Oryzias latipes: one gene and its partners. The protein of the gene in region 1 purifies or fractionates together with the protein of each later gene. This does not show direct contact. Links are inferred from orthologs where the notes say so. Each region holds a gene or a part of one and is shown on either strand. Other genes may lie near its edges. The genes, in order: ptpn3, kctd3, vangl1 and vangl2.

Evidence for each region.
Region 2: the proteins of ptpn3 (region 1) and kctd3 purify together in Homo sapiens (affinity purification with mass spectrometry; 4 studies listed by BioGRID and IntAct, with this or other methods). This does not show direct contact. The link is inferred for Oryzias latipes from reciprocal best matches to the Homo sapiens genes PTPN3 and KCTD3.
Region 3: the proteins of ptpn3 (region 1) and vangl1 purify together in Homo sapiens (affinity purification with mass spectrometry; 4 studies listed by BioGRID and IntAct, with this or other methods). This does not show direct contact. The link is inferred for Oryzias latipes from reciprocal best matches to the Homo sapiens genes PTPN3 and VANGL1.
Region 4: the proteins of ptpn3 (region 1) and vangl2 purify together in Homo sapiens (affinity purification with mass spectrometry; 3 studies listed by BioGRID and IntAct, with this or other methods). This does not show direct contact. The link is inferred for Oryzias latipes from reciprocal best matches to the Homo sapiens genes PTPN3 and VANGL2.

The regions. Positions count from the first base shown.
Region 1 is NC_019874.2:17,814,809-17,822,945, reverse strand, and holds the start of ptpn3 (tyrosine-protein phosphatase non-receptor type 3), read left to right. Parts: upstream 1-78; 5' UTR 79-210; exon of another isoform or gene 211-245; intron 246-881; 5' UTR 882-940; intron 941-1,408; 5' UTR 1,409-1,481; coding exon 1,482-1,550; intron 1,551-2,260; coding exon 2,261-2,395; exon of another isoform or gene 2,396-2,462; intron 2,463-2,559; coding exon 2,560-2,602; intron 2,603-2,756; coding exon 2,757-2,838; intron 2,839-4,117; coding exon 4,118-4,162; intron 4,163-4,256; coding exon 4,257-4,309; intron 4,310-4,496; coding exon 4,497-4,614; intron 4,615-4,697; coding exon 4,698-4,785; intron 4,786-5,858; coding exon 5,859-5,947; intron 5,948-6,019; coding exon 6,020-6,083; intron 6,084-6,195; coding exon 6,196-6,398; intron 6,399-6,488; coding exon 6,489-6,614; intron 6,615-6,738; coding exon 6,739-6,900; intron 6,901-7,009; coding exon 7,010-7,103; intron 7,104-7,182; coding exon 7,183-7,260; intron 7,261-7,347; coding exon 7,348-7,404; intron 7,405-8,137.
Region 2 is NC_019861.2:25,005,936-25,014,072, forward strand, and holds part of kctd3 (BTB/POZ domain-containing protein KCTD3), read left to right. Parts: intron 1-214; coding exon 215-302; intron 303-579; coding exon 580-696; intron 697-819; coding exon 820-990; intron 991-4,067; coding exon 4,068-4,223; intron 4,224-4,401; coding exon 4,402-4,498; intron 4,499-4,567; coding exon 4,568-4,761; intron 4,762-4,884; coding exon 4,885-5,023; intron 5,024-5,579; coding exon 5,580-5,702; intron 5,703-6,133; coding exon 6,134-6,686; 3' UTR 6,687-8,137. UniProt on the Homo sapiens protein: Accessory subunit of potassium/sodium hyperpolarization-activated cyclic nucleotide-gated channel 3 (HCN3) up-regulating its cell-surface expression and current density without affecting its voltage dependence and kinetics.
Region 3 is NC_019860.2:16,728,469-16,736,605, reverse strand, and holds part of vangl1 (vang-like protein 1), read left to right. Parts: intron 1-3,824; coding exon 3,825-4,256; intron 4,257-4,586; coding exon 4,587-4,762; intron 4,763-8,137.
Region 4 is NC_019875.2:3,181,953-3,190,089, reverse strand, and holds part of vangl2 (vang-like protein 2), read left to right. Parts: intron 1-929; coding exon 930-1,065; intron 1,066-4,790; coding exon 4,791-5,034; intron 5,035-6,874; coding exon 6,875-7,135; 3' UTR 7,136-8,137. UniProt on the Homo sapiens protein: Involved in the control of early morphogenesis and patterning of both axial midline structures and the development of neural plate. Plays a role in the regulation of planar cell polarity, particularly in the orientation of stereociliary bundles in the cochlea.

The DNA of each region.
Region 1 (8,137 bases):
AGGAAATACTGTTTGTTTACGTCCTTCCTCAACTTTTTACAAGCTCGCTCCCGCGCTTTAACTTTCTGTCGGGAGCGCGCACGGCAAAGGGGCGGGGCCCTGCGCCGTCAGCGCAGACAGGGATGGGAAACTTGTCCCGGATATTTACCTAGCTATACCTGGCTTTTTGCGACGCGCCCGACCCGACGTTTTCACGCCGGAAATATTCAGGTATATGACTTGTCTTCGAAGCGGGAGGGACGGAGGTAGTAAGACTTTTTCTCCTCGTTTGAAACTGTTTTTCCTCCCCAGAAAACTGGAACTTGGCAAAACTGTTATGTTACGAGTAGAGCCGTGGCGTGTTCCTCCTTTTTTGGGTGTAGCTTTTAGAACATTTGAGGCTGTCAACAGGTTCCCTCGCTTGCGCCGTGGCTCAAAGTGCAAAGAGGTTAACGGCAGACTTTCTAAGTCACAGTCTGGGATGTCGAGAAACGGGCCTAATAATTTGACTTATGGTTTGTTTAGACAGTGAAATGTCTCATACCGAGGAGAACTACATGAGACGTTCAAGTTTGAACGGGTACTAGCAAATGTTCTCAATACTTTCTTTGTTATAAATGGTTATTTGATACGTTTTTGAATTCTAAAAGTTGATCATCTCAGTACAATTTGATATAACTTTTGAATTAAATATCTAAACCTTATTCAAATGTATCCCCAAATGACTTGATGATGGATTTACCTTTTCTGGGCATTTATTTGTAAATTCCCTGCAGATCCAGCCCTGAGAGAGGGGTTATTGTGGAAAACTGGCCATGCAGCTGGGGCCAGCTTTCCTACTAATATATTCAGAGTGTGTTTCTGCGTTCAAACATTAACTCAAACATTGTGTGACCTTTCAGGAACTGCGCCGGACGGGCTGGCCAGATCTGCTCGCCTGGAAAACCAAGACAGGACACATGTAAGCGTGCTGGCATCCATGCGTGTAGATGCTCACCTGCATGCATATTCTCTGATTGGGCATGGCACACATGCGTTTGAGAGTGTGTTTGTGTGCATGGGCTTGCTCCAGGCTGCCGGTCTGATATCAGCTTTTGTGCACTAGGTAGGGGCCAGGGCGGGCTCTGACTCTGAAAATGTTTAACATTCTTATCATTCAGCTGCCAGCAAAAAGGCAGAGATGCAGGAGTGAGAGGGAATGGACATGTTCAGACCCAAGCCATATAATAAGAGATTACACAAACACACGCACACACTCGAGCACGTCACTCCTTCGCATTCATAGTGTATTACTCACTGCGGGCCTGTGCTCCATCCAGCACATGAATTACTCACCACACATTTTCATCCTGTGGGAGGTACTTTCATTGGAAGACAGCAGCCTAGAAACATCTGACGTTTGCTGTTGTGTATGTCTGTGTGTCTCCAGGTCCCCTCTCGGAGAGGAGTCGATGGCAGGGCGTTTGTCTGGATAGGGAAGCAGAGTTACCGCGGTAACAGACATGCCAAAACCGGACCTGCTCTGCTTAGTTCAACTGCTGGACGGCACCATCGAGACCTTCAGAGTCAGCGTGCGTAGCTCACCTAAGCTCCGTCTACTGCTGCCTCGCATGTCGTTTCCTGTAGCGCTCAGAGTCGCATAGTCATGAGTGATGGAGCTGCGTCTTATTCATTGTTTCCAGTCACATCTAACTCAACACTGTGAGCCTGAAGGTCACTCTCACCTCCTGCAGCTTGCATATGCTCGTCACATCTTCAGTCTGCATCAGCATGTCATAATACAGCACCCACTCTCAGCAGAAGGGCCATCTCTGAATTACTTTCAGGGTGCAGCATTTTTTACACACTGGATTCTCCATCACTCTTTTTGTTAGAAAGATTTGTCATCCTGAAAGGCTGAAAAAAATGCTGTGTTCAAATTCACCAAATATGATGGAGTTTCCTGCTGAAAGATGAGTTTACTTTAGTTCTTTAGTACTTGTGATGGGAATATGACTCCAGTTACAGGGAGTGGGAGGTTTAATGCGGAGCGGATGCAGACGAGCGGCTGCATATCCTTCAGACTCATTTAATAAAACCTTGACTAATTAAACTACAATGTTTTTTTGTTGTTGTTGAAGTAATCAAATCTTATCTGGAATAAATGACATTTTACAAACTGTTATTTATAGCCTTTAATCCCATTCCCCTTCAAAAGCAACAACAGACTAAGTCATATCCAGGAGAGTTGACAGGATATTTTTGGCTGAGCGTAATGCCATTTGTTGTTTCCATTTTTCAGAAGCAGGATGAAGGCGAGGTTCTGTTGAGCCTGGTGTTTGACCACCTGGGCCTGCAGGAGAGGCAGCTCTTCAGTCTGCAGATCAGAGAATCCAGCACAGCCATAGCCTCTTTCACAGCCAACACACACTCTCCTGTGAGCTTACCCTTCATGTGCCGCTCATTTGGACACAGATTGTAATGTCTTGCGCTAGCTGATTGCAGTTAAGTTGATGATAACCACAGGGCGTTCTTACATAAATGTTTTTTAGCTGCAGTGAGCCTCAATGTACTATGAATCTTTTTTTTTTTTGCTTTCAGAGATGGTTGGAGCCTGAGAAACCCTTGAAGAAGCAAATCAAAGGTAGGGTACTTGTTGAGGCACAGGTGCAGTGGGTTTTTCTAAACCTACTGCAGTGCACAGATGGAAAAAATACCCGTAAAGCAGCGTCAGTTGTGATGTGGCAGCGGTTGTGATTTTTTTTTTTTTTTTTTAACGAAATGACATTTCCGCACAGGCCTCGTGTCCCCCTTTTATCTGAACTTCAGAGTACGATTCTTCATCTCCGATCCCAACTCTCTGCAGCATGACCAGACGAGGTTAGAACCCAACACAAGAGCGCATCTCATCCCCCCTCTCTCATCCCCCCTCAATGATGACTTACATTTATTACTTTAAAATCTTTCATTGAAATTTTTTCAAGTTTTAAATTATTTTTTTGCAATCCTGACTTTATTTAGCTAAAAACGAAGGAATGCAGACATTTACTGTGCCCCTAATGGCAGTGGCTATATCCGAATTCCCACCCTAACACCTAACTACTAATATAGTGCGGGACTATCTAGTGCTCTGAATTTTAAAAGCATTTCGGCAATGCTCACTACTTTTTTTTTTTTTTAAACGGTGGATATGACGTCATCGATTTCACAAAGTTCAAATCTAATTGATATGAATCCACTGTCTTCTGAAGATAAAAACATTGGTTTATTTAAAAAATACATTTAAATACATTTTTTTGGCAGAAATTGTTCAGACGCAATGCATTGTGGTCTATATTCGCCAATCTAGTGAGCATCGATGGGCACTGGTTTTTCGCAGAGACTTCTGGGAAATTTCTAGGGCACTTGTAGGTTCGGACAGCACTACAAAATGGCGAATGCACTATATGGTGCACTATTGGTAGAGTAGGGAAGGAATTCGGACACAAGAGTCACTCTGCTGTTTTGGGCGGTTGTTACGTCTTGTTTGGTTGTATTTTTTTTCTTGTTTTTCCAGAAAATTGTAGTTTATTAAAAAATTCCTGGGTCCTTTGCACATGCAGCCTTTTAGAGGCGTGGTCATGTATTTAAGAATGCCTTAGGGTTGTGAGAGCCACAAAAAGACATTCAGCTTGTTGCACTCATCTTTTTTTTTAACATAAAATATATATAAGGTTATTGATTTATTTTGAGGATTTGCACAAGCCTCAAACCCAAGAAGTGTTTTAAATGAAATTCTGTGGTCACACTTATCATCTACTCTTTTGCTATTCCCAGTATTGGATGTTTTGACCCGCAAGGCCTTTATTTACATATGTCACTGAATTTCCTGTGTGCAAACACTGTCTGTTTATCAAGGCAGAAAAGCGGTGAATGGCTGCACTCAATTTTACACCTGATACTTTGCAGAATAAATGAAAACCTGGTCCTGAGTAGATGAAAAAAAATACAGTTAGAAAACCAATTTGCTTTTGTGTTCAGCAGTTGTCTAAATGCTGTAGTGTACAGTTATTCACAGATCTGCTAACCAGCACAACCAGACAGCTGATGTGGCTATAACAATGCAGGATACAGAAAGCATGCGTGGGTGTGTTAAGTTCCTCTTGTCTCGCTCCCGCAGGCACCTGTACTTCCTTCAGATTAGAAGCGACATCAGAGAAGGACGGTTTGTACAAAAAAAAAAAAAACTTCAAACCTCACCACCTGTCCCTCTTGTACACAGTGTTTGTGTATAGTGTGCGTAATTATTGTTATTGCAGGTTGCAGTGTCCGCTGAATGCTGCAGTGGTGCTGGCGTCCTATGCTGTGCAGTGTAAGTCCCTAATCTCTTCCTAGAGGGAAAAAAAAAGATGAATGACTTAATAACAACTGTGTGAGTAATTATTCATTGAAGGGGGCCCTCTATCATCTCAATTAACATCCCTCTCATAAAGATGTCAGCATGAGTGGATGGCTGCTGCTTGTTTAAATGATCGGTGTCATCTTTCTGTCTCTTGTAGCGGAAATTGGGGATCACTGTCCGTCCCGGGCCCCCGGATACCTCTCCAAATGCCACTTTATGCCCGAACAGAATGAAGATTTCCTTTCCAAAGTGGAAGATCTCCATCCCCAGCATAAGTATTAGAGGCAGTTCTTTGCTCATAACGATTGAATAACAGGTTCTTGTTGTTGTACGTAATTGTTTGTATTTGTGTTCTTAGAGGGCTTAAGCAGAGCGATGCTGAGCTGTGTTTTCTCAACACCGCCCGGACGCTGGAGTTGTATGGAGTGGAGCTTCACGCTGCTATGGTAGTGTGACTTGATTAAGCTTTAATAGGAAAATCACATGTTTGTTTTTTTTAAACCACATGTTTTCATTACCCGTATGTTTAAGAAGAATATTTGTTTTTTTGTGTCAAAGTGTAAGTTGTTGAGCTTGTAATGATTTAGGCCATTTTAAATGTCCCCCTCAACATTACACTGCAAAAAAGGGAACCTAAAATAAGAAAAGAACACTAAAATTAAGAAGAAATTCAGTAGAAGTACTAAAATGACCATGCAGTTACACACAAGCGTTAAAAAGAGAAAAATAAGCTAAAAGCTAACTGTTAAAATGAATTAAAATGCAATGTTATAGAGAAAAATAATAGTTATTATTGTTGTTTTTTTTATAGTTTTAAGCAAACTGTTTGTATTTTTTGAGTTTTTAACTAAGTGTTGTTCATTTTAATATCAAAAGCTATTGCAATAAGTGGAAATAACTCATATTAGAACAAAATGTGAACAAATAAGAATACAATCTGAGCACAAGTTGACCCATTTTAATAAATTCTCTATAATAAATCTAAAACTGGCTCATATTCCTAGAACATAAATCTGTGTTTGTTTCCAAAATAATGGATGTCACTCTAACATATCAACATTTCCTGAACCTAAAAACGACATTCTTGAAATAAAAGCAAAAATCACAGTGGAATTTGTTTATTTTGTCGTAAAAGTTTTTTATTGTCAGGAATATAGAGTAAAAGGATTTTAATTAATCTCAACGATTATTTCCTTGTTTCTCATTCCTGGCTCTTAATGAGACAAAAAAATCTTGAGTGTGTTGTTTAGAAAAAAGCTTATAAAGGTGTAGAATAAAGAGAAGTTAAATTAACGTAAAACCTGGTTGAATATCTTGAATGTCTAAAAACAAGGTTTTAAATCTCTGCAAGTATCAAATAGTTTGCATTCTTTCAAACACAAACCATGGTTGTAAAAAATCAAATGTAAAATGGGATTTTAACTGAAATTTCTGTTTAGTTTTTACTATTACAATATTAAACTGCATTAATGAACATTATTTAAACATTTTTTTTTTGGTCAATCCTGTCTTCTTCCAGGACACTAACAATACACCTTTAATGGTGGGTTTGACCTCAAGTGGGGTCGCAATATTCTGCAATATGGTTTGTTCCAGTTTCTTCCCCTGGTGAGTAATAATGAGTTGTATTATTCAACTCTTAACCATTAACTGCTGATGAGCTGTGCTACTTCCATGCAGGGGGAAAATTATCAAGATTTCTTTTAAGAGGAAACGCTTTTTTCTACATTTAAAACAGAAACACGTGAGTCATTTTCTGCCTTCTTCATAGATGTTTAATCACAGTTGACTTTGGAATCACATTATTTGCCTTTTCAAAAATGTTGATTGTAAACTGTAATTATTGCATGTTACAGGGGGAGACCCAAGACTGTGAAGTGCCTCTTCTTCTTCTCTGCCCTAAAACTTGCAAGAACTTGTGGCGTTCATGTGTGGACCACCACTCCTTTTTTTCCTCCAACCGCAACGCCAAGAGCCCTAAACAGGGCAACAGCACAGTTCAGACCTACACAAAGCTGATAACACAACACTTGGGGTTCAGCAACAGCAAAGCTGAGACGTGAGCTTCCAAATTATTTCATACATTCAATCTTTTCATCATAAATGCTGCTGATTTCTAACACCCCCCCCCCCCTTTTTTTTTTTGCAGGGGCCCTGTTTACCAGCGTGTGGTTGGCGGCATGGTGTGGAATCCGGTTCTGCAGAGGTCGATTTCATTAGAACATCTTGAAACCAAGAGCCTGCCATCCAGATCACCTCCATCCACCCCCAACTGGTACAACATTCATTAGCCACTGTCATGTTGTAACGGCTTAATCCATCTCTTCTTTTTTTATTGAGACAAAAATTGAGTTTTTATTTTTCACGACACCTGATTGCCGCTGTGTTTGTTGGGGCAGGCGGAGTCCCAGAGTTCGCCATGAGATCCGAAAGCCTCGCCCGTCCTCTGCGGAGCTCACTGCGGATTTGAAAAACATGTCTTTGGGGGAGGATGTGTTCTACACTTACAGAGCCTCTGTGAGCAGCAGCAAAGGCAGCGAAGGAGACGTCTCACCTAACCGGTTAGTTTTGCTCACAAATGAACGTCTAGTTTTTACTGAACTCAAATGAAAGAAAACAAAACTTAATCAGATTAGGAAAAAAAATATTTTATTGTTTTTTTATCTTTAGCCTTTCTGGATCGTACAGCCAAGGACCAGATGATGCTTTGTCCCATGCTGATGATAGTATAGGAGAGGAGGACACCCCACCCTACTATAATAAGGTGCTCCACCTCACCTTAAATCCTAAACATATTCATACGGGGTTTGATGCATGTCTGAAATAAAAATTTCCTCATGCAGGATGCTTTGGGTGATGGAGACCTCATGCTAATATGTATCACTCCAGACCATGAGGGCAAGTTTGGCTTCAACGTTAAAGTATGTCCCTCATTTCATTCATCTATTATACTTTTCTGTTGTTGTTTTAGGATTTCGTCTCATGATTATGTTTTTTTTACCCATCAGGGTGGGGTGGATCAGAAGATGCCCCTGTCTGTTTCCCATATCAAACCAGACTCCCCGGTAAGTGTTGCATATTTTCACATTTATATGTTTGGTCTTTTTGTTCAGTTAAAGTGAGATCACGCATAAAATCTTATAAACTAATATCAGACTTAGTTGTTTTCTTTGATTTTACAAATTGTATTAATAAATGAAACTACCAAAAGGCAAAGAAATACGAATCATTGCATAAAGAGCAACTGATGGTGTTTGTTGAAGCACAGCTCACTTACCAAACCCAGAAGCGTATCAAAACCATTTTCAAACTTTAATATCAATAAATTCTGAAGAAAATCAATCAATTGAATTTAATAATCAATACTTGCATCCCATGTATCAGTCAGATATCCATCAGATGAAAGGAAACAACGTTTCCCAGTATCTTCATTGCAGGGATTGATGCAGTGTTAAATTTCTGTCTGTGGTAAAAGTGAATGCAGCTACATTAAGTTAAGAAAAACGGTTAGTCTTCAGCAAATAGATAACCAACTGTCTGTTAGTATATTGTTTTATCTTGAAAAACAAGAGTCTAAACGACACAGGACCACATTATATTTATGCACATTGATCGTGGCGTTACCCAGAACACACTTGTGAGGAACTCTGAAAAAGAATGACTGAAAGTTATCAGGCTGGAAGAGATTATAAAGTGTTGAAATTCCCAAGTCCGAGTAAGACAGGCTGGGTAAAAATGCAGAAAATCCAAATCCAATGTTAATCTGTTGATAAGTAGTAATGGCTCTTTCCATTGGCT
Region 2 (8,137 bases), on another chromosome or scaffold:
TGAATTTAAATCTTTTTTAACAAAACTAAAAATAGTGATTACAACTTTTTCTTATTTGTTTCTAATGACTAATAACAATACAGGAAAAAAAAATTGGAACAGATGTAGAAACATTATGGAATAAACTTGAAAATAAAGAAGAAATTCTCTGTAGTTTCACAAAAATGACTGAAAAAAGTCTGAACTGATGATGACTACCTTTATTGCGCTCCAGGTTCAGGATGTGGTTCCCATCACCAGCTGTGACACTGCAGGATCTTTTCTGCTTCTGGGCTGCAATAATGGCTCTATCTATTACATAGGTAAACACAAACAAGGATGTTAGTGTGGTCAGTTGTAAAGAACATACCAATACTTTAATTTTTTTTCCTGTTAGAAGATTTAAAAAAAACAAAAAGGGCATTTATATTTAATTTGAATTTCAACAAATACTGTAAAAATCCAAGATAGCTTTACCTTTTCAATTCCCACAGCAATAAAAAGCTGTGATTGTTGTTTCCATTTTTGAGGGAAACACAAAAATCAAATATAAAATGAGACCGCAGAAGGGTCAACATGTTATTTTCATATTTTTTCCAGACATGCAAAAGTTCCCTCTGAGGATGAAGGACAATGACCTTTTAGTGACGGAGCTCTATCACGACCCTTCCAATGATGCCATCACAGCACTCTCCGTGTACCTCACTCCTAAAACCAGTAAGTACCAGAGATAATTATAAGTCCTTGTGCTGTTCAACAATTCAACCTCCATCACAAATCAGTTACTCACTGTGAGGATATTGTGTTTTTTTTCCCCCTCTGTCTTCTGTCTCTCTGGAGGTGTGAGTGGGAACTGGATAGAAATAGCTTATGGGACGAGCAGTGGGGCAGTGAGAGTGATTGTGCAACACCCGGAGACAGTAGGATCAGGTCCTCAGCTCTTTCAGACGTTCACTGTTCACAGGAGCCCAGTGACTAAAATCATGCTGTCTGAAAAACATCTGGTGTCAGGTAAGGAGGAATGGGACTACCCAACCACTCACTGTCCAATCTATTCCCGCAAAAATGACAAACATATTTTCTTGGTTTTACATTTTCACATCTGTCTTTGTACAGACTCCTGCCAAGTCACTAAAGTAGTTGCAGCACCCCTATTGGTAGAAGAGTGTTACTGCAGAAACAAATATTACGCAACTTGGATTATCTATTAACAAATAACTTTTATTTATAAATTCAAAATGATCAACTCCTAATGTTTTCACACGAATTCATATTAACTTTAATGTTTTAGATTATATGTGTTATACAGAAAAGCAGTGGCAGGTATACCATTAGGTATGCAGTATTTAAATAGCTGCTCTTTTCCTCTTACTATCTCAAAGGGTGTGCCCAGCCACCCTTTAGAGAAAACTTATTTCAGCTGCTTGTATACAGGATGTTATTCTCATGACCCATACCCCTTACTAAAGGTGAGGGTAGGAACACAGATTGAACAGTAAATCAAGAGCTTTGTCTTGTGACTTGGCTTCTTCACTAATATGGACGTATCTATCCACCTGAATCTTGCGCTTTAACTTCCTCTCACCTATGAGCAAGACCCCAAGATATCTGAACTCCTCCACTTTTGTCAGGAGAACTTCACCGGCCCAAAGAGGGCAAACCAGCTACGGGAAGGGGATTCCTTGTAGTCTTTTTGGGATCGACATGGGATTGCCTTCCTTAATTCCCAACAAGGTGCTCTGGGTTTTAGGTGGCAGTAGATTTGGGTGGTGTGCTTTGACCATTGGGACATGGAAAAACTAATCGATCAATTTAAAATGAGTAGAATTAAATTTTTTATGGGATAAAACAACTGCAAAAAAAGTTTTGATTTTGTGAAAAAAAAATCAGGACCACGGACAGCACTATTGTTCAGGAGTTTTAAATAGCTGTCTTTTTGTTATCTGGCCTTCCAGAAGTGATAACATGGACAGGTTTGGGGGTTTATTTTATTGAACATGTCTTTCTCTTTGGCAACCAGTAGTCACATAAATGTAAAATACGTTTGTATTTTGTGTTTCAGATCCTCTTGTTTTACATTTATCTGTGTCACTGGTTATTAATCAAATCAATCTTTATTTATGAAGCACTTTTCATATAGAACATATCATAAAGTTCTTTACACTAGAGCAAACAAATAATATAAAAACAAGCACAACAATATAAAAATAAAGCCCCCATCTCCACCCCTGATCCACACAGAACCCCAAACCCCATTCATGCCCCCCGCTCCCTTAAATGCTGGAGATAAACATTAGGAAAGAGGGTGAGCACGGAAAACGTTTGTTGATATAAATGCTAACAGTTGGAAGCTCCCTCTCTGTAGATAGCAGCACAGCTAGCCGGGTGCAGCATTCGCAGTTGGGGACCCAGCAACACTACAGCAAGGTGGCGAAACGGGTCCCCATCTAGAGCCGCAGCAGCCAACTCAGAGGGAGAGGACCCAAATGAGGAAGCTCTGGAAATAAAAATGAAAATAAAAAGTAATAAAGAGCAATAATAAGAAATGTTTTCTTGTCACATGTAACAGGCTACATCTGACAGATGTAATTATCCTAGTGTGTAAAGCAGGGGTCGGGAACCTTTTTTGCCGAGAGAGCCATAAATGCCACATATTTTTAAATGTCATTTCCAAAGAGCCATACAATAATGTAGCGTCCCTTTCCCACACTGAGGCACGGAGACTTAACCTCTTTTAAGGTTCTTTATTCTGGTTACTATAGACCTCAACAAACGCCGCACAATTAATTCAGCAACTCCTGAATCTCTCCCGCCGAGACGAGAGCGCTTCTCCCAACTTTATATTCCCCCCTCCCGCTCCCGCCCTCCCATTTCCCTTATTCGGCCCATAGCTGAACCCCATTGGTCCAAACACCCTAACAACAGGCTGAGCGACAGAACTGAGAGCCAATCAGATCTCTGCTTGATGCGTTCATTGAACTCCAGAACTTTTAACGCGGCCCAACAGCCAAGTTAAACTCAGTCCGCGACAATTTGTTTAAAACTAAATATACAAATGAATGTGTGCTTTGATGTAATTTCAACATTTTTAAAGTACAATAAGTCTGTGGATTCTTTTGAATAACATCGTTATGCTGTTGCTGATAAATGATGAGTATTTCTCGTGGTAGTTTTGCTGATGGTCTAGTCTGGTTGATACGTGGTGAGTTTCTGCTTCATGCAGGTGTTGAGACTTTAAACGTGATCGTAGGTCTGACTGTTCTGTAGATGTGAGACAGACTGATCACATGCAGACCTGGAGCCAAACACACACTCACACGCTGCAGTGAGTGACGGGCAGTGGGTTTTACGTTTTTACAATCCCTGCGCGGTTCACCTGCTGTCCCCACAACCCCCTCCGTACACCCACCCTCTGCTTTCTTCCTCACACATCCCGTCCCCACAACTGCGCGCTCTTTCTCAGAGACGGGAGCGCGCAGTTTTAGGCACGGCAATTCACAGGTTTCCAGTTTGTACAAACTCTGTGAAATAATAGATAATAGTAAACTGATAATGCTGGCGCTGATTTTTCTCTCCAAGCACCGATACTACTCCGCGCCTCTGACATCGCATCGCGCCCGAGAAGGACTGGTCTAATGAAAAAAAAAAGTATAATTAAAGATTTGTCTGCGAGCCACATGTGACCATCAAAAGAGCCATATATGGCTCGCGAGCCATAGGTTCCCGACCCCTGGTGTAAAGCATTGTGGAGACTGAATGCAAGTTTTTTTAGTGGTTTGGATGTCCTTACAAAATTGAAACACGCTTTTCTGTTTCAGTCATTTTGTGCAAATGTGCTTCAGTAAACTCGACAGTTTTATGTCACAAAACATTGACTAAAGTTATGTTATGATTTGTTTTTTAAAAACAGTTGTTATCAGCTTTGATGCCTCTTGAACTGGATGCCTCAAACAGTCATGTCTTTATTTTGTACAGTACATTACAGCTGGAGCATATCAAATATAAAATCAGGTTTATTCTTAAATTTGACTGACTACATCCTTGTCCTCATCATTAACTCAAGGGAGGATTGTGTTTGTGTTTATCAGTGTGTGCAGATAATAACCATGTCCGGACTTGGACGGTGACCCGGTTCCGAGGGATGATTTCAACTCAACCAGGCTCCACCCCTCTGGCATCATTTAAAATACTGTCACTGGAGGAAACTGAAAGTCATGGCAGCTACTGCTCTGGAAATGATATAGGTTAGAGGAAACAGCAAAAACACACGCTCAAAACAAAGAACAAAGTAACTGACTGCTCTTAGCCCTTAATTAAAAAAAGTTTTATGAAATAGCATAAAAACATTTATAATATTTCATAGATTGAGGAAAACTACAGATAAACCAGTATTTTTTAACAAAGGGGATATATTCCCTTCAGGTCCATTTGGAGAGAGGGATGACCAACAGGTTTTCATACAGAAGGTCATACCCATCACTAACAAACTGTTTGTGAGGCTCTCTTCTACTGGGAAAAGGTAATATTTATATTCTCCTGATAGAACATGCTTGGTTTCCATGCTTCACATTTGTCTTTGTGCTGTTAGGATCTGTGAGGTGCAGTCAGTGGATGGCACTACCATCACCTGCTTCATGGTAAGAGAGTGTGAGGGTTCCAGTCGAATGGGATCTCGACCGCGCCGCTATCTGTTCACGGGACAAGGCAATGGCAGCATCCAAATGTGGGACCTGACCACAGCGATGGACACGGCCAACAAAGGAGAGGAGAGAAAAAAAGACGGTGAGGAAGGAGTGACGGCAGCTGCTAGCAATGGCGTGTATATTTTTAGTCTTCACATAAATTAATTCCGGCATCAGTATTCCCTTGAAAAGGTTTGTGTTTTAAGGCTTCCTTATGTTGCAGATGTTGGAGGACCAACTGAGGAGGAGCTGCTGCAGCTGCTGGACCAGTGTGACCTGAGTACTTCTCGCTGTGCAACACCAAACATTAGCCCCGCCCCATCGGTCATGCACCATGCACAGCTCAGAGAGTCCTGCTCCAGGTTAGAAATACACTGCAAAAACCGGGCCGTGCACTCATCAAAATGCCATCTAACTCTTCCTGTCTGACTTGTTGAAAACCTTTTTCTTAGCAGATGTCTTGAGGCTCTTCAACACACAGATCCCACATATCACTTTAAAATAACTGGCTGCAGACTGTGTTCAAAAGCCTATTAAATTAACTACTAGTCACTACAACTACTACCACAGATCTGCTAAATCAAACACACCTGGTAGAGTAAAAATGCATGCTGGATAATAAACGCCCAGATCAGTTTCGACAATAAATAAAAACTAAATCAGGACATTATGTAATTATTGGAACTGGGCTGTATTTCCCTGTGGTGTGACCCACGCATTTATATTTGGCAGTGATGCCTCAAGAGTTTTTGCACTCCTCACCTGCTTGTGATCTTTTCCCCTCTGAGTTCATTTTTTTGCCGTATTAATGCTCCAGTCGAACATCTCTGCGGTGTCAACCAATAGGTAAACACTAACAGCCCTTGGCTAATTTCACTCCTGGGCTTTTGCTTGTCTGTCTCTTCTCGTCATGCACAGTCTGCAGTTACAGGCACCGGAGCCCATTCCTGAAAACCAGGCCACTTATGGAGCTGTGCGGCCCTACAGAGAGAGCCCCCTGCTGGCTCGAGCTCGCCGGACTGAGTCTTTCCACAGCTACAGGTGGAGGAGGGCTTTTTTAACTAGCTTACATACCTCAGCTTGAATTTTAAAATTTAAGTCTTTAAACCCTTCAAGGCTGACTTTATTTCCAATTATATTTAAAAATATTCTTCAGTGTTTTGCTAAATAAGTGGAGTCCTGAATTTAATAGTGATTTGAGAATTAGGGACATATGGTGTAAAGGGGTTAAGATTCCATGTAGAGGATTTTAATAACATTAGGTGATAAATAAAAATATAAATGCATTTTTTCCATATCCATCTCATATAAGTGAATTAATTTGGTTTTGTTAAGCACATCATAGCAATCTGATCATGTTTTTACTTTGTGAAACTTTTATTGGAAAAATCCAAGAAAAAAGTTACTTACTTGAGACCATAAGAAGAGCATGTTTGCAGTTGAGTTACTAACACTGTTGTATGTTTCCACAGAGACTTCCAGAACTTCAGCTTGAGTCGGGGAGGTCTGGACCAGACAGGCCAGACGTCCTGCCAAGGCCCCCACCAGTCTGCCGATGCACGCCGTTCGTTTTGTGACTTCGCACCTCAGGACATTGAGAGGAGAGCCTCAGTTATGGAGCTGTGGGCTTCCCGCACCAACAGTGCAAGCTCCGGTTCCACTGTCGGGGGGGTTTCGTTGACAAAAGCAGAAGGTAGTCAGGAATCACCACGGCAACCTCCAGACAGCCCAGTTCCAGGAGGGGATGTCAGGCAAAAAGTACACCCTCAGCTAGAGGAAGGAGATGGAGGAGATTGGATGAAGGCTGAGGGAAGTGTGAAGAAGAAGGGAGTGTTGGAAGGAGGCTTTCTGGGGAGAAAGCGGGCTCCCCCTGTTCCTCACTTTTCCCTCCCATCTGGATCTGAAGGTGGGGGCAGTGACTCATCTACAAATGCCTCGCCCTCCCCAACCAAACTAGCTGCCTCCACCTCCCCGCGACAGAAGAAACTGGCAGCTGAAGCCTCCAGTCAAGACAGCAGCTTGTAATCCCAGACAATTGCTGAATTTGTTGTGGGTGAAGACAAGAACTTTTCAAATTTGCAAAGTAAAAGAGAAAAAAAGTTCAGGATCTTTGTTTTGGGAGCCCACAATCCTGAGCACTACTATGTTTACTCATTCCTGCACTAAGGGACAACATCTCAACACTAACATCACATCATCTCTAGCCGAGGAGGGACATTCAGTGAAACATCTGTTGGGTCTAAAAACATCTGCAAATCGGCTTTTAGGGTTAAGACCATCATAGTCTTTGGGCGTTGATGTTTTTGCATTTTTAGGTTTTACGCTTTGTCCTGAAGAGGCGATGAAAGTGTTTGTGTGTTTTGTGTCGCTGCGGCTCACGCATGATGTGACACAGGAAAGCAGAGCGTCTGTCTGATCAGGTACTCAAAGGTTTATTATCCAAACACATCAGAGGTCACTAATTAGATTGACTGCTTTAAGAAATCAAGATCCATCTATGGTTTGCTCAAAACCTACATTTAAGTAGAAGAGACAAAAGACCCGATTGATCTTAAATTAAAGCTCATTGCGGTGTATGCAATTGCTAACTCAGCTTAAACACTTTACTTTAGCTAGAAATTAGCAGATACTTGAAAGCCTTTATATCTTCCCATAGACACTTACATGTTGGTTTTTGATGTGGATAGAAAGACACATACAGATTGTCTAAGGAAACTTGGAGATTGTTTTTAGTAATTTCCTCTATTGCTTTATTGTGCAGAATCACATTGGGGGGCAAATTTTGTAAAAATCAGCCGAAGTGGAGAAGGGTTGCATGTGAACAGCAGTTGAACATGGGTCAGTCGGTCCTAAGGGAAAAATCCAAGAAATTTGTCCTCCAAAAGATGCAACAACTGCACAAAGGGGCTTTGCGAAAACCTTCCCTTCTAGCTAATGCTGTGCATGATCCCACTACATTTTTTGATAATTATTTTTTTAACGTTTGCCACTTTCAACCTGCACTTGATAAAAGGACCTGCATATACACTTTATCACTATAACCCCCCCCCCCCAAAGTGGGCTTTATATGTATTGTTTTGTGCAGCATGGCTGTTGCAGTGCCTTATTTAGCCGTGTTTGTGTCTTAGTTGAAACATTTTGTGACCAAAGGTTGGTGAAGGTGGAGATCATGGTGAAGTTGCAGGAAGGGACCTTGATCTAAACTTTACCTGACTTTGACTGAAAAAAAAAAAAGTCACATCAGTTTTCCAGCTGGTGTCATTACATACTAAACTATAGTTGTGGTTTACCTTGTGAGTGTAAAACACAAACGTTTTGGAGAAAAGGGACCTGACATGTCACATGTTATGATGTGAACCAGAGTGTACAGTTTATGGAGCACCAAACAAAAGCAGCTGCATGAGATCTTTTCTATGAAGGCCAAAAACTGTCTGTGTCATTTATGAAGAAGGTTCATCAACATTTGAGCCCAGCGG
Region 3 (8,137 bases), on another chromosome or scaffold:
TTTTTTTTTATTATAACTATGCCATTTTTAGCCAAAAACTTAAAAAACCTCTCGTTTTTGTTTGGGACATAATTGCCGCAGGGCGGCAGGAGTTTATCAGAAATTTGCTTCTGAGTTGTGGGCGGGACTGTTGATGCGGAGCAACCCTGGGCCCCTTCCTTCCCTGTTGAGAGCTCTCTGTCTACATGCTCTCCCCGCTAGCTTACAGCCCCTCACACCCCCAACCTAACATTACCAGTGCAACAAAAAGGGCGAGCAATATTGGAGCCATCCAGCCGTTTTGAGCCCGGATAAACAATGACGTAGACGGATCTAGTCGTCTGAAAGTATATGGATCAGCATAATGGAGCTGAGCGGGGAGCAAATACAATCTTTTTCATCCGCTCCTGATTCACAAGGATTTGAATTCAGCAATACTCTTTTTTTTATTTTTATTTTTTTTTTCTTGGAGTGGGTCTGTAAGGATTGGGGCTGAAAGTGTAGCCAAGAAGCTTCCAGAGGCGTCACCCCCACAACAACCCTGAACAAAATGGAATTAGTGTCAGAAACAGACAAGCTGAGTCAATCTGTTAGCAGACGCGGGCTGCTGTGAGTCCTGTGGGTGCTGTACAGGTTCTCTGCGGTCAGAGAGGCACTCTGTCTTGCACATAATGGCTATTGATTCTTTTTTTGTTGTTGCTTTGTTTTTCACACTCGGTCACATGCAGCATGCTTGTTCACCAGGATTAAGCCTTAAGAATCTGACAGGACTGAGACAGCAGAGCCGGGCGGGAAGCTCATTATTTAGTTGCTTTTCTAGCTTCCCGCCCGTTCCTCTCTGTTGACCAAACGGCATGTGGCTCCACCTTTTTTACAAATCACTTAGCTTTGCTAATGCAAAAAGAAAATCAGGTTGCACTGATTTTAGTGTTCTGTAGGGAATATACGGCTCATGCAAATAAGATAAAAAAAAGCCTGTTGCATCTGTGAAGAGGCTGAGGGCTCTCCAGTCCTGCTCATTAACAGCAGAGAGGCTCCCACTCCACTCAGACTACTTCTAAATGCATGTGCACAAGCAGCTAATTAATCTCCTTTAATCTGCTTAATAAAAACAGACCACTTTAGTCCCAGTCAGATTAAACAAACAAAATTCATTTCAGTCTTTTTTTTTTCTCCTTTGCACCCATCAATTAAAAAAAACGGTGGGACTTCACCGCCGTCAGCTCGGCGAGTTTCTAGTCGCCCGAAGGAATGCGGTAACTCGTTCACCCGCTGACACTTTGAACCCCAGCCACGCATTCCTCAGTGTAGTTTGGGAAATGCGAGCCAGGTCAGTGGAGATGTTTGGACGCGACAGCGTCACAACTATTTACAGCCTCGTGTCAAAGGCCAGGAGAACTCGAGACGGCTTTCAGGGCTGGTCCTCATCAAAGGGACGCGGTTGTTGCCGCGCCCGCCGCTTAACTGCTAAGGCATCCTCACCTTTGAGGGTAATGGTAGTCATGTATTTTAATACTTTCAGACAACGAATAATTCAGAAACAAAGAAGTCTGCGTTTGAATTTCGAACTAATAAACACTCTTCTGGATACAATTGTACCTTTTTTGGGGGGGTAAAACCTAACTTGATTGTGCTCCATGTGTCCTCCCATTGTTCTGCTTCAGCTCTGTGGTTTAAACCTGGAGGCTACCGAGAGATTTTCTGTTCCAGTGCATCCTCCTCCTCCTCCTCCGCCTCCGCCTCCCAAACCCCCTGTCTGTACTGTTCATAATGCATCCTCTTGATAAACCCCTGCTGCCAGTGTGCGGTTCTTCTCACTGATGTGATTCCTAAATACGGCTTCATTTCAGCTGGATAGCTCTTGGCTGATAGAAGAAAAGATCTTTGATTGCATTTTCTTGCAGCTGATGACTGTTGGTCATGTGGCCTTTTATGGCCGGCTTTGTTATCACATTACAAGCTTGTTATGACTGTCATGTAAAGAGTCTTTATCTGTGTTTTTGTAACGGTGCCGCTCCGTCACTGCTGACATTCATTATCGACGGATGCAGGAACGCTCTCTCTGACCTTTTCCTCTCCTCGCCATTTTCCGTGGGGGGAAAGTAAACTCTGCGATTTGCTTTTTGTGCGTCTTTAATATTCTGGCTGCTGAAGCATTGTTAAAGGAGGAACCCATTGTTGCAACTTATTGTGGTTTCTGCACTACCCTATGTCATTTGATAGTTCTTAAGGCCCGTTCACACCGGTACGAATTTCGCCGGCGATTTTCGCCCACGTTTAACGCCTCGTGACTAAACAAAGGGCACCAATGAGAGTGTGCACACCGACGCGAAAAAACGCCACGCGTCAAAGCGTCAAAAAAAACGCCTCGGGTTCGTTTTTTTTTTTTGACGCCTCGCGTCGAAATCTATTCGACCAATGAGAATGGCGCTTTTGCACACGTGTCTGGAGCTTCTGAAGTTACAGTAAAACACAACTTGGGGGCGCTCAAACACAAAACTGCCTTGCTGAACACGCATACCAGCGAAGAAGATAGACGCCAAGTAGCGTCTACACAGCCGCGAAGAAATAATGACGGACATTCTAAAATATCCCCGAACCAAGCACCAGTTGGAGCTACTGGTGCTTGAAATATTCATGTTTTCTTTGTATTATTCGGACAAGCGCGTAAATACTTGCTCTCTTCTTCTGAGTGAAAAGCGACTTTAAGAAGCGTAAAGTTGCGCAGCGCCACCTTGTGTACAGGAGTATTTCTGTTTACATTAAGCGCCATCTAATGTCAGGGAATGAAATTGCATGTTCACTCGGCTCATCGACAGCGAAAATTGCCTGGGTGTGAACACAAAAAAACGTGGCGAAAAAACGCTGGCGAATAACGCCTGGCGAATATTCGTCCCGGTGTGTACGGGCCTTGAGTCATGTGACGTGTGCGATGATCATGAAGGCAAAACAGCAATCCAAGATGGCGGCTGACACCCAAAAGCCAGTCAGTTTTCAGATATTTTCTTCACTTAACCAAAAATATGCAAACCATGAAAATATACTTTTGAGTTGTTGACCTATTTTCAACACCCCTACAACTCTTAAAAATGGACAAGCGATGAACTTTAATGAACATGTGATGGAGAGTTGATCACCTTTCTTGTCTTGACAACCATAATTCTTTAAGTGTTCAGGATGGGTCAACCCAACTAAGGTAATTCCAGAGGGTTTTGAAGGGGACAAAAGCAGCTTTACACTGATAAGCAACCCTTTACAGTAGTGAAGTGTTTAGGCAATCAACGTCAGTCGGTGGTCGCCAAGAAAAGCAGCCGGATGCCATTATTGGTGCAAAGCCAATATGAACAGCCACTATTCTCCACGTAGGAATCAGCTGACTCCCATTGATCGCGTTAAGCGGGTTACTGTTTGGTATTTAGGTGTCTCCAGCGACATCTCCTGTGTTACAAGGTTAAAAAGGCCTGTTTGCTCCATCCTGTGTGGTTCATCTTACCTACTGTGGTGGTTAACCTTGCCTGAATGTGGTACTCAAAGCTGGGACTTCCAACTTATTGTTATTCATGGTAACTGGATCTCTTTGGTCTGCGGCTTCAGTAGTGATTGGTTAAAAGAAATCGCACACTGGAGCTCCAGAAAGTATATAATATTGTTGTGCGTTTCTCGATGTCAAAGCCAGTTATTCTACACAAAGGTTGCAAGCAAGTTGCTTAAGTTAAATGCATGCCTATCACGCTTTCCGTTTTTGTAAACAAAATTCACTTTACTTCAAGAAAAGACACATTGATAACTTATCAGAATTAAAAGGTCCTTTATTTTTGCATCATATGTCCTCCTTGTATTTCCAGGATGATAACTGGGGTGAGACCACCACGGCCATCACAGGTACGTCCGAGCACAGCCTGTCCCAGGAGGACATCGTCCGCATCACCAAGGACCTGGAAGACAGCGTGGGGCTCAACTGTCGTCGCTACCTCACCCGGATTTTGGCCGTGATCCTGGGCGTCCTGGTGCTCCTCACACCGCTGGCCTTCCTGGTGCTGCCCCACCTCCTCTGGCCAGACAAGCTGCAGAATTGCGGGACGGCCTGCGAGGGCCTCTACATCTCCATAGCCTTCAAGCTCCTCATCCTCCTGCTGGCCGTCTGGGGACTCTTCTTCAGGCCGCCGCGAGCAAGCCTCCCACGGGTCTTTGCGTTTCGGGCCCTCCTCTCTGTTCTGGTGCTGCTCTTTGTCATCTCCTATTGGCTCTTCTACGCAGTCCGGATACTTGAAGCGCAGGTGTGTGGAGACAATAACCACAATCTTGACTGAATAACCCAAAAAAAGCTAATTAGGCGGGATAGCACTCATTATATGCACACAGATTTATTTCTCCTGCCTTCGGGAGCCTCGCTAAATCACAAAACACAACCCAAACACCTAATTTAAACTCTGGTGGCTTCAGCATGCTTGAAGAAAACACAAACACGAGGTCCAAAGGCTTTTTCTCTGAAACGTTTCTAAATATTTATGTTCCTAGGGTATCCAGCATTTCAGGGTCTATTTTCTTTTCTTCTGAAAACGTTGATTTTGTGCTTTGCTGCATGCGTCATATTGTCCCATTTGCAGGATGCAGACTACCAGGGCATCGTTCAGTACGCCGTCTCGCTTGTGGACGCCCTGCTCTTCATCCACTACCTGGCCATCGTGCTGCTGGAGCTCCGCCAGCTTCAGCCATGCTTCTCCGTATGCGTCACGCGCTCCACAGACGGCGAGACGAGGCACTACAACCTGGGACAGCTCAGGTGAGAATCCCCGGCGACGAGACCCTTTCAGTTCTGACTCCTTGCGTGTGCTTCCCAGAGTGCTTTGTGGTTGGGGTCAGTTGTAAATTCTCTAGGATAAACGGGCTCCTCAGGTTATTCCAGGAGGAGTTTTTGAACCTCTAATGCCACTCCAGTGCTCTAGAAGTTTGCCGTCATGAAAAGAAAAGACGTGAGGAAGTATTTTCTGATGCTAATCTTCCTCAGCAGACGTGACTTTTGTGCATAGAGAGGTGCAGGTGAAGAAGATCAGGAGATAAAGGAGAACTCGTAGAGATTAGTGTGTGAAGTGAAGTGAGAGGAAAAGATGGGACGTGTGCCATGGTAGGTTTTTAGAAATGTGGAAGTGAAGAGAAAGTAACAGTTTCTTCATCGTAAAAGAAAGGAAGCTATTATAGATAAAATATGGTTCATCTGGTTTTCGGGTTATTTAGGGCCCGTGGAGGGTTGTATTAAGGAGCGTAGGTTTCCCTGTGGCTCGTACGTCCAGCTCAAAGGACATAATGTACGACTGTCGTACGGTTGGTAATAGGCCTGCACAATAAATAGCAAATTTATCGTCATGGCGATATCAACTGTGCAATACGCATATCGCAAAAAGGCGAAAATTGCAATAGATGGTTACCTTTAATGTGCTAAAACAATCTTATGGCAGCTCGAAGCATTTAAGTAATCAAATAAATCCCTTTATGCAGTTGACCAATCAGATGGACCCCTTCATGTTGTTGACCAATCAGATAGAAACCTTTTATGTTAAATGTTCACCTCCTATGTAGACGAGGGGCATTTGGAGTGTAATTTAAGTTATGTCGACTCTTGTTTAAATCAAACTGTTGGAGTGAAATGGGAATGATGTTTTTGGCTGTTTTCTTATTTGTTTATCTATCGCAAGTCGTATCATCATCGTAATATTGATCATTAATATCGCACATTGCAAGTTTTCCTCATATTGTGCAGCCCTAGTTGATAAGGCTAATGTAATTTGTATGCGTTTTTGGCGTACAGGTAATATGACACGCAACACTTGTCATTAGTAAGGTGCGAGGAGGGCTCCATACTGACCACACACGAATGTGTACACATGATACGCCTGTAGGATGCCAATGGGATGCTTACACTAACTACGCTCTGAATGTATAATTTCCTCCAAAGAGCCCCTAGCAAAAATGTGCAAATGTCTCAAAAATCCTGCGTCTCACCTTCTACATCCTCGTGTGTTGGAAAAGGGATCTCACAGCATGCCCATAGAAAAAATGTGCATGAACATTTTCACTCTACGGGCTCACTGATCGGGTCACGACCCTGATATCTTGCCACCTGGATGCCCAGCTCTTGTGTTGGACTTATTTTACTGTTACAATAGGGGGTTATGATTTTTTATTTTGTTGTTGGACCTGACAGAAAGGAAGAAGAGAGAGGGATGTTCTAGAAGGGGTGTGTGCCCATTTCTTTGCCCACAGACGGCTGGTATCCACCCGTAAGGGTAGTTATGAATAAAGGTAAAGAGAACCGACAACATACCAAAGAAGTCGCCCATAAAATACCAAATAAAAAGCTTTAAACTATTAGGTTTAAAACTGTAGAGCTGGATAGCTCCAATATTGCCCACCATTTTTGACGCACCAGTAGGGTTAGGTTGGGGGTGTGGGAGCTAGCGAGAAAGTTGACGGATGACGAGAAGTGGGAGCGGGCTTACTCCACCCACAACTCAGAGGTGAATTTCTAATCAACTACTGCCAAATCCTAAAAAGCGCCCCAGGTTTTTAAGGTTTTGGCTGAAAAACGTCAAATTCCTCATGAAAAGACCACTGAGAATGCTTTGAAAATAGATTTCATTTTCATTGACTGAGCATATTAACCACGGGACATGCCCACTTATGGTCAAAGTCAACACGTGTATATATATAATAAAGATCAAAAGACTATCGAAGTGGTTCTTTAAATCTTTTAAGCATCCCACCAGCGAAATCTAATCTGCCCAATCCTGGTCCTCAAAAACCAGCACTGCTAAATGCTTCCAGCCACCTCTGCTGTACCTGGGATCATGTGATCCAGCCAATCAACGGCAAGTAGGCAAACATAGCTGAAATGAATGACAAAACCACAAAAAAAAAGCTATTAATGAAAAAAAAGATTAAAATATTCAAAGAAATAAAGAGATTTTATTTTTTTCAATTTCTGCACTAAAAAAAAAGGGCAGAAAAACAAGGATGTTCAAGGATGAATTGGAGAAGGAGAGAAACTGAAAGAGGAAACACCCAGGGGACCTAGACAGAGGCAGCGACAGCCAGAATGGAGGAGGAGGATTTAATAGTTAATGTGAGGTTAGTGTTGAATGCTAATGCTCGTAAAAGAACAGCTCCGACCTGAGCCACCAGCTTTTTATGACTGAGGAGCATCTGAATGATGTCAAAAAGATTTTTTTTTTGTTGAGGTGCAACACTGCAGCAAATCCTGTTTCTTTCTCTAAACTCCCGAACCAGGCAAGTCCTGCATGGATCTGCTGTATGACAGATAAATCAAATAAATCATACATTGCCTCTAGGATGAAGACGGTGTGAAGGAGCGCCCCCAAAGCAGTTTAATGTAGTCTTAATTTCATAGATGTTGCTGATCTTGGACCATTTTTAAATTCAAAAATGAAATCGAGCGGCAGCGCCCACAGCCAGAACTTGTTATCGACTTATTGCATATTGATTTGCTTGGGTGTAAACATGTCAACCATGGGTGTAACGGTCTGCTGAGATGCTGGCTGCCTCAGGGTCTGTTGTCCTTTTGCAAGCTGCGATATTCAACGTTGCTGAGTCCGGCAGCAGCCCGGCCGTCCTTCTGTGACTGTAAACACGTTGCTAATGAATGCTCCCTGCAGACTGCATCCAGGCAGCTGCTCAGACCCACACACACACACACACACACACACACACACAGACAGGTTACACAACAGCAAGCAGACGCCGGGGTTTTTCTTTTTTGTTTTGAGTCTCCTCCGCTGCTCACATTTTTCTTTTTCTGGCACGTCCACTGTCTGATCACAAGGCTTTCGCCTGGAGGCCAGAACGCTTGTTGGGACGCCAAACTAAAAGCCCCAGGGATCTTCGTGTGTTTCAACCCTTTTATTTAAGCATTCACTGCTTTAGGTCACTCTTCAAAGTTTTGGTGAAATCAAATCATTTTCCTGTCTTGGTTAAACAGTGATCAGGTCTGTGCTTCAGATCTGCCGTGTATTCTGCACCACAATCCGGAGTGTGGGTGTGTTTACTGATGTTTGAGAGGTACACATTGCTCTTTTAAAACGGCAGTCTGTTTTTTTTTTACAAGTTGCAAACATGGTTGGGAGTTAGCGTAGTCACGGTAACG
Region 4 (8,137 bases), on another chromosome or scaffold:
AGACGTGAAAGAAAAATAGAACAAAAGTGCAGGTGTGTCCACTTTGCAGAAAAACAACGTTCTGGTAACCCTGAAAGAGCTGCCTGCAATGAGACACAATTATGAAGCACAGTTTGAACTGCAAGCTATCACACTTTTACTAAGACTGGGAGGCAGCGCCGGGCCATTATTTATGAATGGATTGTAGATGCTAACGTGTGTTGTGGGATGAGTGTGCTAAAACCGGTGTGTCTGAGCGATACATACAGGCGCGGTCAGTCGTTGTTTTGGAGTTGAGAAAAGTAATAAAGAAAGCTCCTCTAGAAGAACTGAGACTGGTTCTTTGGCTTAACCCGCTCTGGAGGCTCTGAGGGCCTGAACGAGGGGGGGTGAACCCCGGAGGAAGATCAGCCTTTGGCCCCGGAGAGAAGATCTTCCCTGCGTCTTCCAACCACGGGTCGCAAAAGCCAGCATCATTCCTGAGGAGCCGCACGGCGACAAGACAGACTCTGACAATGACTAAAGGGAATCTGGCATGTTTGATAGAAATTCAGCCCAGCTGTTCATTTCAGATACAGACGATGAGGACTTTGATGGATTTTTGGATGCTGATTGATGACTGAAAAAAGAAATCACAAGCAACTCCGTTTTGCTTCCACTGCTTTTTTAAAACGCACCCCAGCCTGCATGTTTTACTGTATGTTTTATGTGCCGGTGCCCTAAAACCTGGTGCGCCTTTTAAATTTGTTAAATACAGAAAATTACTTATTTTGCGCACTATAATCCAGTGGGCGTTGAGAAAAAACGTTAAGCAGAAGAAGATAAGGCAGGATTTCTGGAAAACCAGCAGGAGGGCGGCCCTCTAGGCCTGGAGTTTGAAACCCCTGGTGTAAACCGAATGCTATGCTTCATTTCTCTTTCATCTTCCCTCTGCATTTGATGTCTTGCAGAAAACACAACCAACAACTCTACAGGCCAATCGCGAGCCATGATCGCAGCTGCTGCCAGGAGGAGAGACAACTCCCACAACGAGTACTACTACGAGGAGGCCGAGATGGAGCGCAGGATACGGAAACGCAAAGCCAGGTCAGACCAACACACGCCGATCAGTCTGCATTCAGACTAAGAAATGTCTGATCAGATGGAGGGAAAACTCAAATCCTCTGTAAGAAGCACGTTTTCTAGAGATCTACTGATCTTCCAGTCCTTCATTTAACCTCCGTCAAGACACGAGCATAAAGGTGTGACCTGCTGCAGTCTGCAACATGGCTTATAACCTTTTCCAGCACATTAATTCAAGCTATTTGACTTCTCCTTATATAACTTAAGGTGGTCCTGTTTCTACATGCCCTCAGTGTTTTGGCTGCTGGGAAATAAATCAGTTTGTCATTCTGTCAGTGAAACGTCGGCGTTTGCAGCAACATGATTGGTGCTCTGTTAAATGCAGGAAAGCCCACAGTAAATGGCAACCCGCCACGACACTCCAGCACCACAAATATGCTTCATAGCAAGTTTCTGGCTGTGTTTAAAGCCACCTGAGGGGTTTAAAAAAAAAAAAAAAAAGGTAAATAGCAGCGTTGCTGTCTGCTCTACACACTCAAACAGCAGAAAAGGGCTCGTTCAATGTTAAATCTTGAGTTTTGAAATGTCTTGGTGTTGGTTTCCAATCTTAAAATGATTCCAAGATATTTTTACAATAATGAATTTAGCTTTTATTTAAATGTTTTCTGGTTATTAAAGCTTTTTGTGTATGCGCTTTCAGTGTGTTCAAAAAACCTATTGACCCTGCCTTGCCTTAACCCTTGGGCTATCTTGTGGGGTCCAGATGACCCCACTCCCAATGTTGGCGTGCCTTGGAGGCACTTTAACATGGGGTCATCTAGACCCTGTAACGTTTGGAGTTGGGTCATCTAGACCCACTATACAGTGCTCTGAACCTTTCTTCTTCAATGATTTGTGAGCTTCACTGGTGTCCATGGATTACAACAAATCTTTCCACCTTTATCCACCTTTGTCATGGTGGGGAGAACACGTCAATGTAAGGGTGGGGTCGTCTGGACCCCATAGGACAACAAAGGGTTAAAAAGGTAAAAAAAAAAAAGTGTTCATTGTGTCACAAAGCATTTAAACTCGTTTTCAAGCTTAATGTTTATGTATAGGTAGTGCGTGCAATGCGCTTGTAAATCCCTTGATTTTGTCCCCACCAGGGACAATAGCTCCTGAGATCACTTGAGCCCACAAACTCCTCCTACTCCACATTAAGGTGGCGGTTCACGAAGGGCTGGCGAAGGAAGCTTCGTCCATATGGTTGCTTGGCGCTCCATGATGCCACGGTCGCATATAGAACTGCCACCGCGTGATGGCAGAATCTTCAAGATTTCATGCCACCATCTGATTTTTGAAAATCCTTGGCGTGGTCATGAATGAAGATGGCGGCGGTCTGTCAGGCAGGGAAGCCACAGTGCGGTGGCAGAGCAATCGCTGTACAGCAGCAGCCCTTATTGGACAATATGTGAATGTCTCCGGACGGCGGCGTTCCATATGACGAAACCCAGCAAGGGCAAAGAAAATGAAGGTCCAAGCACAGCAGGAGTCTTCATCAGATGAAGAGCATCAAGGCCGTCTCTCTATTTGTGTGCTGGACCAGTTGGGCCAGTTGAGACGGCTCATGCAGGTAGAAGAAAGTGGATAGATTGATTTTGTTAAAAGGGGGCAAACAAAGCAGAGAGCCGCTTAGCCCAGCAGGTGGAAGAATCAGCCAGACACAAGCTGTGTCAGTTCAAACAGAGCAAAATCTTCAACAGCAATGGGAAACAGGAAAGGATTTCTCATAAACGACCATCAACTGGGATTAACAAAGACACAACAAAACCAGCAAGCAAAGGAAAGAAAAGAATGGAAGAGAAAAAAACTCTGATCTTCTTCATGAAATGGCTCAAATGAAGAAAGGTCATGAGGAAAGGAGCGCCACCTTTGACCGATCCCAGAAGCAGATGGAAGAACTGAAAGACCCTTTCAGGGAAAAGGTCACCATAAGAAACCATTTTGAAGGTGTCTTGAAGGAAACAACACCAGCAGATGGAAATGATCAAAAAAAGGAGTATCGGATGAAAAACATTTGATCTAGGCCTTAAAAGGTCCCAACTGGAAACAAAACATCAAGAGACAAAAAAGAGAAGGCATCAGAAGGAGCAGTGGGAAACAGAACTTTATGAAACTAAAATGTGAAAGGATTTCCCTTTAGTTCCTGTTTACTTGTTTGGTTGAACACATATTTCATTTACGCTTGATTATCTTGCCAGAAATGAAAAGAATCTGGAAAACTTGACCTGAACTGTTTAGTACCAGCTATTTAATTCTGAGTTACACTGATGGAAGTTTTGGCTAAAGATGTTCTGGATCCATTTGAGGTCAGTGAATCGGATTGATCAAACTGAACCCATATCGACTGTGAATCGGATCATTAAAATGAATGGTTACACCCCTACTATACACTGGTTGGTGTGTAGTGACCTGCAGTCTAGAGCGACTATTCCGTGAACCAGGAGTTGGTGTTTGGCTCCTCTGGAGTCTCTACCAATGCCCTTCTGGTCGTTCCTCATGTGTTGGTCGGTTTATTGGCCGGTAGTTGGATGGGACTGCACCCTTTGAGGGATCCTTCTGGATCAGGATCGTTAGCCCTTCCGTTAACCATTTGTGGTGAGTCCCATCTCCAAGCAGCTGGTTGATTTGTGCTGCCAGGCGCTCATGGAGGGCGGTGAGTTTCTTTAGCCAGTGTGTCATGTCAGCGCCCGGGGAGACTCTTTTTTTTTTTGGACGTCTGCCCCTGTGATGGTCACTGGATCCTGTTCAGGGGGGTTGCTATAAGTGCTGTCATGCGATCCATTTTTGTGTGCGACTAATCAATCATGACAGACTTCCCACTTTACTTTTACACCACCAAGAGGGATTTTGGTGTTAACCTCAAACAATAAAAAAGGTCCGGAGTGCTCTAATTAAAAACATGAAAAAACCGCAGGAACACTTCACTACGTGCCACGGGGCGGCCGTGGTGCAGCGGCAGGGGAAGGTGCGATTCCCACCTTCCCCACCCATGTGTTGAAGTGTCCTTGAGCAAGACACTGAACCCCACTTTGGTTCTGGTGGGAGGTTGGTGTCCATGTTTGTCAGAAGAGTGTGTCACGGGGGAATGGGACTGTGACGGGAAAGTCCTTCCACAGTTTATCACAGCGGTAGAAAAGACAGGTGATTTTATAGTTTCCTTTAACGTCTTGAAGCGGAAAAGAAAGAGGGAAGCTGGGGAGGAAATGACAACATGAGGACGGGACACTGGAGGAGCTGAACTAGTTAGACTTTGTTTTCATTAAAACAAACTTTTGCTTCATCATCTGGAAGGAAGAGGCCAGCTTTGCCTCTGAAAGGATGCTTTGTTTATTTTCTCGCAATGATCACTTTCCTCAGAGAGGAGATGGCGAGAGTGGAGCCCGCTGGAGCTGTTACCATGACAACGTGACGCAGCGTGTTTCTAATGGTCCATTTTTGGTGAAAAATGATTCAACCTTGAAAATATGACAGGACTGAAGTTCTAATAATGTGTTTAATATTTATTTTTTTTGTAAATGGCATGGTCTGGCAGTTTCCAGGGCTTCAGGGACGGGCATCTGGCTCCATCTCTTGGCCCCTCTGTCATGTCACTTCTCTTCGAGCCGTCTTGAAAATCGTGAAATCATTATGACAACAATGAACTTGCGGATACAAGCTGCCGTTCTCACTGACTGACCATCATGGGCGGGAATGTGGCTGTGCTGCAGGTTGGTGGTGGCGGTGGAAGAGGCCTTCACGCACATCAAGCGTCTTCACAAGGACGAGGCCACCTCGTCCCCTAAACACCCCAGAGAGGAGATGGACCCCCGGGAGGCGGCCCAAGCCATCTTTGCCCCCATGGCGCGAGCCATGCAGAAATACCTGAGGACCACACGGCAGCAGGCCTTCCACAGCATGGAGAGCATCATCTCCCACCTGCAGTTCTGCATCACGCATAACATGACGCCCAAGGCAGGTTCCCCGTCGTCTGCTAATTAAATACTCATCTGTTTTATTTATAGAGTGCAGTAAAGTTTATTGATGTGATATTTAGAAGAAGTTTGATATTTCAGAAGTTTGAGGGAGACGCAAACGCTTAACAACAATATATTGTGGGGGAAAACGACTAGAAGTGTAGTTCAGAAAAAGACAGTCCTGTATTCTTAAAAACACAAATCACTGCCGAGTATTAGTCACCAAAAAAATGCATAATAAAGAAGAAACAATCCTAAATAAGTGGCGCTCCTGAACAAATCCGCTTTATATTGTGCTCACACCAAATGTGATTCACGCGTCAAATTAGAATCTGCTGCCTCTTTTTCAACACATATCATATTTGATGCCTAATGCGTGTCCAAATATGTTCCTACACTAGACACTCCCATGTGTGGGAGGAGCTACCATCAAATATTTGGCCTCATCACTACAGAGAAGCATTGCTTGTAGATCTCATTTGCATGGACGACACTGATGATGTTGACAGATCAGGTTTATATATTTTGAAGAGCTCCACAGAAACATCAGTAATCACGTCTCCATGTCTGGGTTCATGAAGTCATTCAGAAGTTTTTTTTCTGCAGGAGCTGCGTCTGAATGACGGCGCTTTCAGCAGTACTTCCGTCTCTCTGGGACCCAGTTTGTCCTGCATTTGTCCAAAGAGGGAAGAAATAAAAAGAAAAAAAATAATGTCTTGACACGAATAAGAAAAATATCAAACGTTTTGTCCAAATTCCTTCCCTACTCACTACATAGTGTGTTCGCCATTTTCTAGTGCTGTCCCAATCTACTATTCCAAAATCCAGTGCCCTAGAAATACCCTAGAAGTCTCTGTGAAAAACCAGTGTGCATCGATGCTCACCAGACTGCCGAATATAGACCACAATGCATTGCGTTGGAACAACTTTTGTGAAAAACTTGTTTAAATTTTTTTAATAAAATATAATCGTTTTAATCATCAAAACACAGTGGATTCATAAATAGTCGTTAAATGTTCGTATTTAATAGGTTTTTACTTTATGAAATGAATGACGTAATATTCGCCCTTAAAAAAAAAGATTACTGAGCATGGTGTCCGGATTGCTTTTAAAATCCATGTTCACTACATAGTCCCCCACTATCTATTTAGTATTTAGGAAGTAGGTTGGGAAGTCAGACAGCCCATGTTTTAGTTGGACGGCACTTCTTCTGCATTGCTACGGTGCCCTCTAGTGGTTGTTAGCGGGAAAATAAAAAAATATATGAGCCTTTATTTGTTTTTATTTTTTAAATCGTATATAATTCGCAGCTCTGGCCAAACTATGCAAAAAAAAAAACTCAACTTATACTCCAAAAAAACCCATAAACCCATGACTCAAAAGGCATGTTTCTATCCCGACCAGGTTAAACTGCTGTTCTCTTATTTTTTATGTTTTTAGGTTGTAATGGTGCGATTTGCATTCGAGTTTTCAGACAGTTTTTTATGTTAAGTATGATATTATGTAAAGAACGTTTTCACAGAATCAAAACCTAAAGAACAATGGGAAAAAGTAAAAAGTAACCAGTCTAACTGCCTGAAGAGAATTTATTCTCTCCTTTTGCTTTGGAAACTGTTATCAGAGGTTTATATTTCAGTTGAAATGACTGGACATTTTTCAAATGTACAGATTTTCTATTTCTAGTTTATTTATTACAGTTCAGAACATGTTATGAGGTAACAAATGAGAGACAAGCATGTTTCTTTTAGGTTAAATGGGTTGGAAAATCTCCTATAAACTACATGAAAGACGATAAAGGCACATTTTCTATAAATGACCTCCAGCTTCGCTCCTTTCAGGCTTTCCTGGAGCGTTACCTGACCCCCGGCCCCACCATGCAATACCAGCAGCAAAACGGCGGAGGGCGCCAGTGGACTTTGGTGAGCGAGGAGCCGGTGACCTCGGCCCTGCGTCAGGGTCTGGTCTTCTCTCTGCGCCGCCTGGACTTCTCCCTGGTCGTCACGGTGACGCCCCTCCCTTTCCTGCGGCTCGGGGAGGAGTTCATCGACCCCAAGAGCCACAAATTCGTCATGAGGCTGCAGTCGGAGACTTCGGTCTGAACTGCGTTCGGCTGATGCTCCCCTTGTCTTTTGCTGTGTTCTGCCGGAATAAGAAAACATTGAAGAAGAGGAGCGCTTAGAATGGCCGCCGCTGTCAAACTGTGATCAGGAGAGCGAGCGGAGGCCTGTTCTCCTCACACTGCTAAAGCCGTTGTGTCCTGAAGGGGACCTTTCTTCCTCCTTCCCTCATCATCCGCTGAACGGCTGACTGGAGACATAAAGTATGAGGGGGGTTATAACAGCAGTCACCCCCCCTCTCTGGTGTCTTACACGCGCCGACCGACTGCAGCTCTGATGCCTGCTGGTCCTCCACTGTGGCAAGGGCTTGCTTTTGTACCAGAGGGACCGCTTTATATTTGCTTTGAAGAATGTAGCAATATGTCTTTTTTGATGACTGTTAATAAGAATGGATGTACATTCCTAACCTGTTGCTGTCCGTCACTCTGTTCACTTCTTATGCAGCTTCTGGTCACACAGACATGATCAGCAACACTTTGGGTTTAGCTGCAGCAAATGTTTGACCCTGGAGATGCTGCTTTCCTCTGGTCACCCAGCAAAAAGCGGAAGTCTCCCCTCACTAGGGGGGGTCCTTCCTAACGTTGCTCTTACGTTTTCACCAGAATGTCCGTCACCCGGATGGAGCATGTTGGCTTTACCAGAACAAAGGGACATGATGTTTTTTTGCTGATCAACTCCTCCATTGTAGGGCTTTGAATGTTTAAAGGAGCTCATTTGAAAAACGTGCAGCTCCACTTAAAGAGATGTACTTTCAAAAATCAAAGTTTGTTCGTCTTTCAGTTAGGTTTATTAGTGTGATTAAAGCAGACTTCTGGATGTTCATCCCAGCTCCGCTTCGGCCTCTGAAACCCCTCAGTGATGCTTCATAGATGAAAAGAACAAACATCACCTCCATGGGAATTTTTGCAATGTTATTAAGGCTTTAATGGGTTTTTTGTAATCAAAATGACCACGTTCTGCTTTAATGTTTGTGATGCCTTTATT